3 linked regions of the Arabidopsis thaliana genome follow. The protein of the gene in region 2 interacts with the protein of the main gene of each other region in a pairwise test. Each region holds a gene or a part of one and is shown on either strand. Other genes may lie near its edges.

What was found.
Region 1: the proteins of AT3G56570 (region 2) and AT1G44830 interact in a two-hybrid assay, tested with the Arabidopsis thaliana proteins (one large-scale study listed by BioGRID).
Region 3: the proteins of AT3G56570 (region 2) and AT5G50010 interact in a two-hybrid assay, tested with the Arabidopsis thaliana proteins (one large-scale study listed by BioGRID).

The regions. Positions count from the first base shown.
Region 1 is NC_003070.9:16,931,643-16,935,171, reverse strand, and holds AT1G44830 (Integrase-type DNA-binding superfamily protein), read right to left. Parts: upstream 1,474-3,529; 5' UTR 1,381-1,473; coding exon 745-1,380; 3' UTR 604-744; downstream 1-603.
Region 2 is NC_003074.8:20,956,441-20,960,199, reverse strand, and holds the start of AT3G56570 (SET domain-containing protein), read right to left. Parts: upstream 1,617-3,759; 5' UTR 1,541-1,616; coding exon 1,530-1,540; intron 1,453-1,529; coding exon 1,077-1,452; intron 999-1,076; coding exon 802-998; intron 154-801; coding exon 1-153. Other genes in the region: NAC065 (NAC domain containing protein 65), read right to left, coding at 3,333-3,529, 3,735-3,759.
Region 3 is NC_003076.8:20,346,840-20,350,598, reverse strand, and holds the start of AT5G50010 (transcription factor bHLH145), read right to left. Parts: upstream 1,985-3,759; 5' UTR 1,916-1,984; intron 1,767-1,915; 5' UTR 1,369-1,766; intron 1,258-1,368; 5' UTR 1,161-1,257; intron 1,063-1,160; 5' UTR 1,044-1,062; coding exon 108-1,043; 3' UTR 1-107.

The sequences.
Region 1 (3,529 bases), on a different chromosome or scaffold from region 2:
AATTCTAACCAGTCACCACACAAAACCATTCTGCATCTCTTGTCTCTTCTCTCTTTTTCCTTATCTTTCTTCTAAATAAATAATATTTATACACTTACTCTATTCAACAATAATTAAGTAGGATTAATCATCGCCTTCTATGACAAGCCTCATGAAACTTGCTTCTTACTCTTTGACTTTGCAAAACTTTTCACATGAAAAATCTGCTTTCTGTTTAACTCATTAGCTAATACTTTTATATCCTTAATAAAGAAAAATCATATATACAGTACTTATATCGCATAGTCATCTTACCACCACTTATTTTGTATCATGTACACATTTACATCAAACAGTGTTAGTGTTAAAGTCAGTAACGCCAAATTTTGCATTCATACTATAAAATCTGAAATGATTGTTTTCAACACTAACTCTTAACTTTTAGGTTTCAGAATTTAATCAACAACAATATGATTCTGTACTTTTTCGTTTTTACCTTTTAACTTGTTATCATTCGAAGTTCTTTGTTCAAAAGCTATAAATCTATTTCCATACTTAACCACTACTACTAGATTTAGTGAACTCTTAACATGAAAAATATCTAATTTCAAAAATAATTTAGATATTGGTACAAAGATCCCCAAATGTTCCATACATTGTGAGAATTGATAGAAAAGGGAAGAAAAAAATGTATAACACATTGTATAAGTTACATAACTCAAGTATATATATTGAAACAAAGAATAAGGTATAATGAAAGTAGAATCAGCAGAAGTTCCATAATCTGATATCTCCTTCCTCAAAGAAATCATCAGAAAGTGATGTTGTCAAATACGGCGCGGAGACTCCATTAATGAACATGAACTGATCATCACCATCAAAGCAGTTGTACCATGATGATGATTCAGACAAGGAGACTTGTTGGTCATACTGTGACATGGAGACAACATCATAGAGATCTTCAGATGGAGAGGAAAGCAATGGAGATGAAGTAGAGACTGATGATGAGGAAGGATCTGTGTTGGCAGCAGCAGCTGCAGCTGCTACTCTTTGTATAGACTTAGGGGACATGTCATTGTTGTTATCACCATTGTTGATAATATGGTAGAGAGAAGTTGAGATCTCTGGGAAGTTGAGATTATTAGCTGAGGATCCTTTAAGACATAGGAGTGCTGCGTCGTAGGCTCTAGCCGCGGCTTCAGCAGTTGAGTAAGAACCAAGCCAGATCCTTGTCTTTTGATTAGGAGCTCTGATCTCTGAAACCCATGAACCCCAACTTCTCATTCTCACTCCCTTGTACTTCTTCATCCTTATGGATGATGATGATGTTGATGAGGATGATGAAGATGATGATGATGGAGATGACATTCTCTTTGGTGTCTTTTGAAGTGTTTTCACCATTTTTGATACTAATTAAGGGAGGAAGTTGGAGGAGAAGAATGGTGTGTTTCTATTTATAGAGAACAAAAATGGAAAGAGAAACATAAAGAACTCAAAAGAAAAAAAAATACTATGAACATAGTCAAAGAAAGTAGCATGGGGCACACACAAAGAGATTAATACTTTTCTTTTAAATAATGTAAGAGACAGGTGTTTTTAATTTATTTATAAAAAAGATTTTCCTTAATCACAATCCCATATGCTACACCCAATCACAGATCACTAATAAGAGAATCCCTATTTTTTATTTTCAAAAATGCATATTTATTGATTTGACCTCCAAGGCTCCAAGCTAATTCTTTAGTTCCACAAAAGTACACTATTGTTTACAACTAAAAGTTACTACTTCTTGAGCCTCAGAATCTTGAATAAAAATGTAAATAACAAAAATCAGTACTCATATGAGAATATTAATATCAAGATACGACAGAAAGTTATAAAACATTATAAGAGGAAACATTGGATTCTATTTTTAGAGGCAACTTCTAGGAGCTAAGAGCATGTGATTTTTTAAGGTACAAACAAAAGACAAAGTTAATCATAAGAATAATTTAACTATCGAATTATTTTGATAAATGAGATGCAAAATGAAATCACATGCATGATTATAGATATATATATATATATATATATAATACAAAAATTACAAGTTTTTTTTTTTGGTTAAAAGGCCTAAACATAATTCAGAATCTTAAACGTTAAAGTAGCTGAAGTCATGTTTACCAAGGTAATGCACAAGAGCTGGTGCTCTTCTGTCTTAATGGGACTTTTAAAACCGCGTTAACTAGCTCTTTGTGTCTCCTTGTCACACGTAAAATTCTCTCTGTAAAAAGGCTTTTACTAAATTAATTAAATTCAGATTCTTTTGTCAAACTGCATTGTAATATTAAATAATATTGTACTACTAACTAAATAAACTAAAGTAAAATCGTCAAACCTCATAATAGTCTTGCACTGTTTATTAACTAAACTAATCTGCGGTTATATTTAGTCGGCACTAGAATTAAATTAAGACGCGTAAGAGTACTACTAAACTAATCTATTCGTGTTCACGTTCTAGCCAGACGACTCTATTTCTTTTTTCTCTTTTGGGGTACTATAATATAACAATAATGAAGGTTTTTTATTCATATCAAGAAACGAATCAACAGAATTGTTCGTTGGAAAATGCAGGCAACATTTTACAAAAGTTTATGATAAAACAAAACCAACAATGTTCTACCATTTTTATATTAATATTTGCACTCAATGACTGTAATTACAAACGTGGTATTTGAATAAATAATCAAATTAATTCCATCTAAAGAGAATGATTCAAATTTTGACTATTTTACTTTCTTTTAAGAAAAATAATAGTTATAACTAAATCTTACGTGACGAATTCTTTAACATTAGTATTCTATGTGCACATCTAATTTATCAAAATGAAGTTTTTATATGTTTTGGCTCTTATATCTACAACTTGTAGAACACATTTCCTCTACTACATTATTTTCGTTATGTAGACATCTAATTTATAAAACATATTTATGTTTTTGTCATATAATCATGTTATCTATGTTTTTGGATATATCTATATTATTTAGCGGGTTAAAATATTTGTATATCCAAGCTTATCAAATAAATTATACTTTTCAAAGTCATTTACGGAAAAAAAACATTTTACATTTTCTCTCAATATTTTACCAATATGACTTTGCTATTTTCTAAAAACAACTATAACATTCTCATTCACCGAAAGATATCTCCATTTCATACCATTTAACTAATTCACTATTTTACATTTATTTTTATTTACCAATAAATATTTTCTTTTCACCACAATGTCACCATATTCACCCAATCACATTCTTTGTTGATTGTTTTAGTGTCTAGAGCTCGACAGTCTGAAGCTATACGTGTAACTGTGTAAGAACAAGAAGAAGATGAGTTACATTGTGTCATAAAGCTTGAGTGATCGGATCGGGTAAAATCCGAGAAGCTAAAGCAATTAAGCTAGCTACCTAACGAAGAATAGTGAGCGAACCCTACCTGAGGAAATAGACAAATAGAATCATAAATGAAGATTCATGCATAATGCATGTACTTTTGCACTAAAAATATCCTATTC
Region 2 (3,759 bases):
TCAAAAGACTGCTCAGGCGAGGAAGAAATTTTACTGGAAGGCTCGTCTTCATCAGTGGTCTCATTTGCAGCATCATCGTTGTCAGATTCATCAGCTTCAGAATCGGATTCATGAGTGAAGTGAACGTCTTCTGCCCCAGTTTTATGATTAAAGCTGCAAAATGAAATAAACAGGCAATACTAAGAAGAGTGGACAATGAGTAAATCATCAAGCATTTGTCAGGAAATTCACCTAGCATGCTAGAATCACATTTAGTTCATCGAAACCGACTTCTAAGGATCATTTTTTCCACATGAAAAAAAAAATCAAAACGGAAAAGCACAGATCCAAGTAAATAACCAATAAGATGCTGCAATCCAGAAGAAGGCTGTGAAAAAAATCAGCACATTGATTGCTAACTGTATAGATTATCTGCAATCACTGACAGGACTGGGAACATACTCGGTCTTATCAAAGTGATTGAACCTAACGAGACCTTAAAATCTACACAGCGGAAATCTCTTGAGGACAACATAAACAAGCAAATGTTGGTCCAACAACTAGGCAAATTGGCCGATATACAAGATGCAATAAAAACTCACAAGTCTGGGAAGTGAACAGAGAAATAAGGAAAACATCTATATGACCATAAACTAAGTAACTAACTATATAAGTCTATGGTTAATGCAAAGCTTAGGGAGTAAAAACAGCTGATACAGGAAAGCATTTCTAAGGTATTAAACCTCAATTCTAACAACTTTCTTTGGTTGATACATATTTAGCTTAACAAGCCCTATGAAGACAAATGTGAGGTAAACTTACAGGTCTGCAAGAGGAACCATCCCGGATCCATGGTAATCATCGATTTCGAAAGACCGTGAAGCAATTAAACTCTTAGCAGCAAGATACTCTTTGATTCCAAACGAATCAGAATCAACATTCTGAGGCAGTGAAGAGGTAAGCGGCAAAATGTTTTCTTTCCAATCCTCATATATAAGAACATGATCTTCCTTCACCAACTGCCTACAAAAAATTCAAACTGATGAGTAGTGAATTCAACTACAATGCAATGGTAAATCAAAATTTGGAAAGGAAACCTTATGAAGCTCAGTTCCAGATAAGAGAGAATCTAAGTCTTCAAGAGACCAAACAAGAGGCAAATCTTCTTGAATAGGAAGAATCTGAAGATAACCAGCCCAAGGAGATTCTTCACCTAAGCTTCTCTCGTACATGAGAGCCACAGAGAGACCTAAACTTCCATCTAAATCAGCAGATTCGATCATCTCACGAGCTCCACTGGTTTTGATAGTGAGACAAGCAGTTTTTGAGATATTGGCAACAACATCTCCTTCCTTCAAATCGCAGAATGCTCTCACAGAGACACCATCGTTTTCGTCGTCGACGAGGTTGAGAGCTTCGCTGCAATCAACGCCGTTAGCTTGCATCCATCTCTTGAATGCTCTTAATCTCCTACTAACAATGCGAGAGACGAGAAATTAAACAAGGTAAAATTAAAGGTTCTATTCATTGACTATAGAGCGAGAGAGAACCTTGTGGCCATGAGTGAAGGTCTCCGATGAAATCGCCGGAGGGAAACAAAACAACGTCCGGTGAGAGAGACAACGACGGCGATAAATGAATAAAGGGTTTATGATGTTCAGTAACATACGAAGAGTATTGACGAAAATACCCTTCCATCTGAAAATTAAATAAACCTGAAGTAATTTGGATAACAGCTTCTAATTGCCACACTTTAATTACGGGGAAATTATTTATATGTTTTGTATCTTCCCTTTTAAACATTATCAAACTAGTAATCTATGCATCACATACAAATACTCCATTTCATTTTTGTAATGAGTTTAGCGATAATATGCATACAAATTTAAGAGTGTTCAATCCGAATTTTGGTTTAGTTTTGAATCTTCTGATACGTGACGAAAAGAAAAAAAACTTTTGATACGTAAAATAGTATCTAAAACAAAACATTTATCATTGGGATAAACAGTTTAGTACTCAAATTCAGAGTTTGGTATTTAATCCTAAAATATTAATAAAACTTTGATTTTTTTTGTTTGGTTTGAATTTAAATTCAAAATTTTGGATAAAGAAAAAGGTGAATGTATTCATACCATATTAATATATAATTCGATTTGAATTCGGATCCGATTATTCAGAATAAACACCCCTTGATATCAATGTAGACACTTATAGCCTCAACCCTTAGTTATGTTAGAAGTTATCGACTCTCACGTCATTGTAGGAGATTTTTCAGATTGTGGTTTAATCTGTATTTATTTGACATGGAGGTTTATCTTGCAAAAAAAAATTATATTGAGGGTTTTTTGCACAAAATCCTTATGTATTCAAACGGAGTTATCGACTGCCACGTCATCGATATACGGGAGGGTTGTATTGCAGGTGATTTAGAGTAGGTGGGGTTGACTTGCATAATTCGGACTTGGAGGGTAACTTGCAAACGAGATTGATTTGGAGGGTTATTTTGCAGAAAACTCTTCTTTTAAAAAGTATTAAAGAGTTTTACATCCAACAGTGTTAAAGAGTTTTACATCCAACTTTGAATTAAAGGAAAAAGCCTAATGTTTAGTGTATAAATTTCCAAAAACAAAAATATCAAGTAAGACTTTGATCTTCAATACATTACCATTTCATACATTTATATATAGAATAGACTAAAGTATGTGCTATAAACAAACCAATAATAATAAAAACTTTGTAATCATTAATTATAACAAAGATAAATGAATACTCAGCCAAAACAACATCATGTTCGGGTGCAGGAGAAGAAACGACAACAAAATCTTCCTCGTTCACTCCATTTGATGAACTCTCGGCAATTTTCTATCCTCGCCACAACCAAAAACGCAGAGTTTTGGTGATTCCACCATCGATTACTCTTTTATTTCTGATTCATTTTCAAGAGTGTCGAACAATACCGGTTTACTAGAAAACATCGTGAAGGAAGGAATAAAAGAAAGAAAATAAATGCAGTTGATCTCAACCTATCTATGGAGTTTGATTTGAATTTTGTGTGTTTTATTTTTCCATCAAAAATAAATAAAATGCTACCATTGTAATTTTTGATTAAGAATTACAATGGTAAGCATTTTATTTTATGTTTATTTACTCTTTTATTTATGTTTTTTTGTGTTTTATTTATGTTTTCCACCATAAACCTGTTTCATGATTTTGTAACGTGATCATTGACAGAAGAACACACAAAATGGATTCATGACGCACCAACAGAAACAAGAAGAAGACTCAAAACAAGACTCAAAACAGAATCCAAAAAACTTAAAAACCTAAATAACTTGGGAACCAAGAAACACTTCTTACCTTGTCGTGTTGTGAGAAGAGTGATCAAGAGAGTATTCTTGCATTAACCAATCAGTTTTGACGCCTTCTGATGGTTTCCCAACGTAGTATGCAAGTGGCCTTTTGTTGCCAACGACACCATCTCCAGCTTTAAATCTTTTGGGCAGCCACTTTTGCGTGCCAATATCCTCCGTCAGTGTCGCCACGTTTCTGCCTTTTCGCACCATTACCAACTCTCTTTGTTTGGCTTAAACCTTGATCAACTTTGTTCCTCTCCGTTATAATAAACCATTCTTTATCGTTACCCTTCTGGAATTCCTCTGTTTCAAAAATATATATATATAGATATATGTTAATCACTTAATAAACTAAAGAATTCAACTAAGTAAACAATACATATGGACGGAGACAAAGTTAACCTGAAAGTGTCTGTGGATTCGACTC
Region 3 (3,759 bases), on a different chromosome or scaffold from region 2:
TGTAGCTTGACAAGAGTACCACGGTCCAATATGTCTACTACTTTGTTTAGAAACCAAGTCCACTTGCCAATGCTAATATGTCTTAGGTATCCTACAAACAAAGAACCTCATGCTTCTCGATTTTTCGCTTCCATCTTCAATGATTTAAGGTAATCAATGGCTCTATCGATGACTAAGATCGGGTCCACCAGTTCCTCCCCGGGGACTACACTGCGCAAGAGGCTTACAGTCTCAAATATCTTCTCTTCTCCTATCTTGTTACTAGACAGCTTAGAACGTTTCAGAAAACTAATCCTTGTGTTGTCACAACTACCACAGCTCGATTCAGCGTCCCGCATACTCTCATTCGAGGTTTCGAGTATCTTTCTCTTTTTAGCATTTAATGGTTGTCCATAGCTTCCAAGAAATGTTTTTTGGTCCTCACGGCCTGATACTACAATGCTTGGGGAATGGTCTGCGCTTGTAACCTCATCTTCTTCAGAGCAATAACCACTCTCATCTTCAGAGTAAAGCAATGCATTTAGTTCTTCCGAATCCTCCTTCAAATCCGGTTCGCTATTTCCTTGCATTCCGTGACAAACAAACAAATCTTTGTTGCTTCTTTGGAGCTCTTCCTTCATATCAGGACAGGCATGCTGTTTTAGGGTCTCAAAAGATTTCCGTATATCGGAAGCGAGTAGCAAAGTCGTCTGATCTCCAGACTGATCAAACACTAGGAACCTCTTCTGACTACATTGTTCCTCAGCTTTAGATATAACACCGTCTACTTGAAGAGGTACTTGCTTCATACATTGGTTTTGAGGAGGCAAGAACTGCTGCTGTAGGTGGGATGACCCATGAACCCATCCACAATACCCATCAAAATAGGATTGAGAGACTTGGGTAGAAACTTGATAAGATCCACGAGTAGAAAACATGTCGGTGGTGTCGCCGCAGGTTTTAGATACTAAATTCAAGTCTTGCTTCCCGAGATGAGACAGAGCTAGGGAAGACAAGGAACACAAGCGCTGAGTAGGAAACCCAAACCCACGATCTTGTCCCATCCAACACTAAACAAATCAACTATCCAAAACAGAGGACATCATCATCTCAAACAAATCAGCTACTTATAATCAAGAATGGGAGGTCAAAAGATTATGTGTGCAAAGACTGGAACTTACCAACTAAATGGATAGAAGAAACTAGGCTTGAAACAAGAACGATAAGTATCGAGCTACTCTACGTGACGGGCTTCAACAATTGACGGAAATATTCAGCCTGCAAAATACACAACATCAAAGCTAAAACGAAATCAATAAAAAAAAGTTCTGGTGGTTTAAAAATCTAAATATATTGCAATAACATAAACTCATCAAACAAGAAAATAACCTGGCAATCTTGGAGAGGTTGAAAGCATGCAATGACTCTAACTACAATGTTTCCTGTGATACCGTGTTCGTGTTTGAGTGTACGAAATCTTGTCTGTCCCGCTGATTGACAAACCATAACTACTTTCTCCCCAACTGATTCCTTCTCCCAAAACAGAGTATCCAAACGAAGTCTTAAATAATTTGGCGGACAAAGTAAGGGAATGTGAAGAAAAAAGACGACCCCATTACATAAAAAAGCTATGTCTGAAGTAAGATCGCAGTTTACAGAATCACACGACAGAAGACTACTACTGTACGAAAAACATAAGCAGAAAGACACAACCACCACCGCATGCTGTTGCTTTGTTGCTCTTTCTTGTTTTATCTCTGGAGTCAATCTCACTACTTCAAATGAATCTGCAAAATAAACGAGAGCAATAGATTTAGTGCTAGCAAGAAACAGAACACTTTAAAACAAATAACTTAACCTAGAAAAATATGCACAATGCATATTATTACAGAGTTTATAAGTTCTATCTCGAAAACTGAAGATAATAGAAACTCACAAAAGTGGAATGCAAGAGAAGCAAATAGAAGTTCTAAGGAGGAAGCAGAGAGATATTAGTTTCAGTGATGGCGAAGAGAAGTTAGCGAGGAAGAAGATATATACAAGAGAAAAAGACGAAAGTGACCTTCATCATAACAGAGATGCGTGCGTGCGTTAAAGTTTAGGTATCGTGATGCCACAGTGTTTACCAAATCCGATAACAAATGTTTTTGGGAAAATTAGCTGAATTTGGTGGGTTCAAAATCTAAATAGTTGTTTATTTTTCTCGATGTAATTACTAATTAGTAAGATATACTCATAATCCATATTGTTGTTAACATGCTTTTTCGGCTTATTTATATTTGGCTAAAAGATATACATTTGCCCATTTGGTGGAAAAATAAATTATGCCAAATAGCTTGTTTTGGTTGGAAAGAAGAATCAGTCGACTTTCACTTTTCATCACATGTAAACAAATTCAGCTAACGGAATCTAGTATCTTTCAATTCCACCGAAACACAAATATCATTCACATAATATAAAAATGATCATCAATGAAGCTATACAAAAAAAAAAATCCATTTGAAGCCAAAGTATACTTACTTCATGCAATCATGTTTTATAAGACGCTCGCTTATGTATTTTGTTGGTTTCGTACTTTCGTTCATCGTCAGTAAGAAAAGTAGTGAAAGTATCCAATGTGAAGAAGAAGAAGGTCCAATCATTTCTCAAATACTCTCGTTTGCAATGGCTTGACCGTTCAAACCCCAAATCATTTCTACTTTTACTTTTTACCTTTTTGCACCCTCCATTTCCATCTTCTTTGGGTTTCACATTATGTTTTGTCTTCCCATTCTGGTTGGTCTATTTTCATATGGATCTCCAAAACACTTTCGTGGAAAATGTATCTATTGCACTTATAGTGAAAAAACGATGAAATATGTGACGATAAATATAACAAGAAGAAAGGAAAATCCTACAAGACAATTGATTGCTCTTCATCTTTTCTTTATTATAATCTCTTCCAAAATATGTATATTTTTCTATATATACTAAAGTGTTAAGAAAAAAAAACAAGCTTCATTATCATTATAAGACTTCCGTTTTCACTATAGAAGTAGGAACGGTACAAGTCATACTCACTGACTTATAAAAATACAAACAAATAATGATAACATAAGAACATTATTATTGAGATCATAATTTATGACCAATCCACAATAATTTATATTATGAAAATATAAATTCAATATTAGATACTGTAAGATAAGTTTCGAAGGACAAAAAAGGAGATAATTTCTATACAGAAACCCAAATGAACAACCTGCATCACCAAAAATTACCAAGTTAGCCAAAAAAAGTTTTTTTAGCTAGTTAGCCAATGACTTAATCGTATATTATCAATCATAAAACTTGATACCAAAATTATCTAAACCTAATTAATCCCCCAGAAGAAACAGACACGTTCTCTCTTGTCAGAAAATGGCACTGACTAGTAATAATTATACCCAAGATATTTTTCATTGACAATCAAAGACATCTGAAACTATATTCAATAGTGATAGATGTAGAAGACCCATGATTTAGTAACCTGAACCAAATCTTTGATGTACAGATAAGAGAGATCTGGTTGCTCACAATCATACAAGCAGAGTAACATTTAATATTACCACGCCAAATATTTAAGTTATACAAAAACCATTAGGATAATATTACTAATCCGTATAGTATATAAATTAGGATTAATTAAAAGTGGATACACTTAATCCTTACTGGCTTTAATGGTGTCAGGGGCCCAAAACAAACCCTCCACCGTTTCTCTCTTTCTGTGTGTCTCTAAAGCAATCATCATATCCTAGGTCC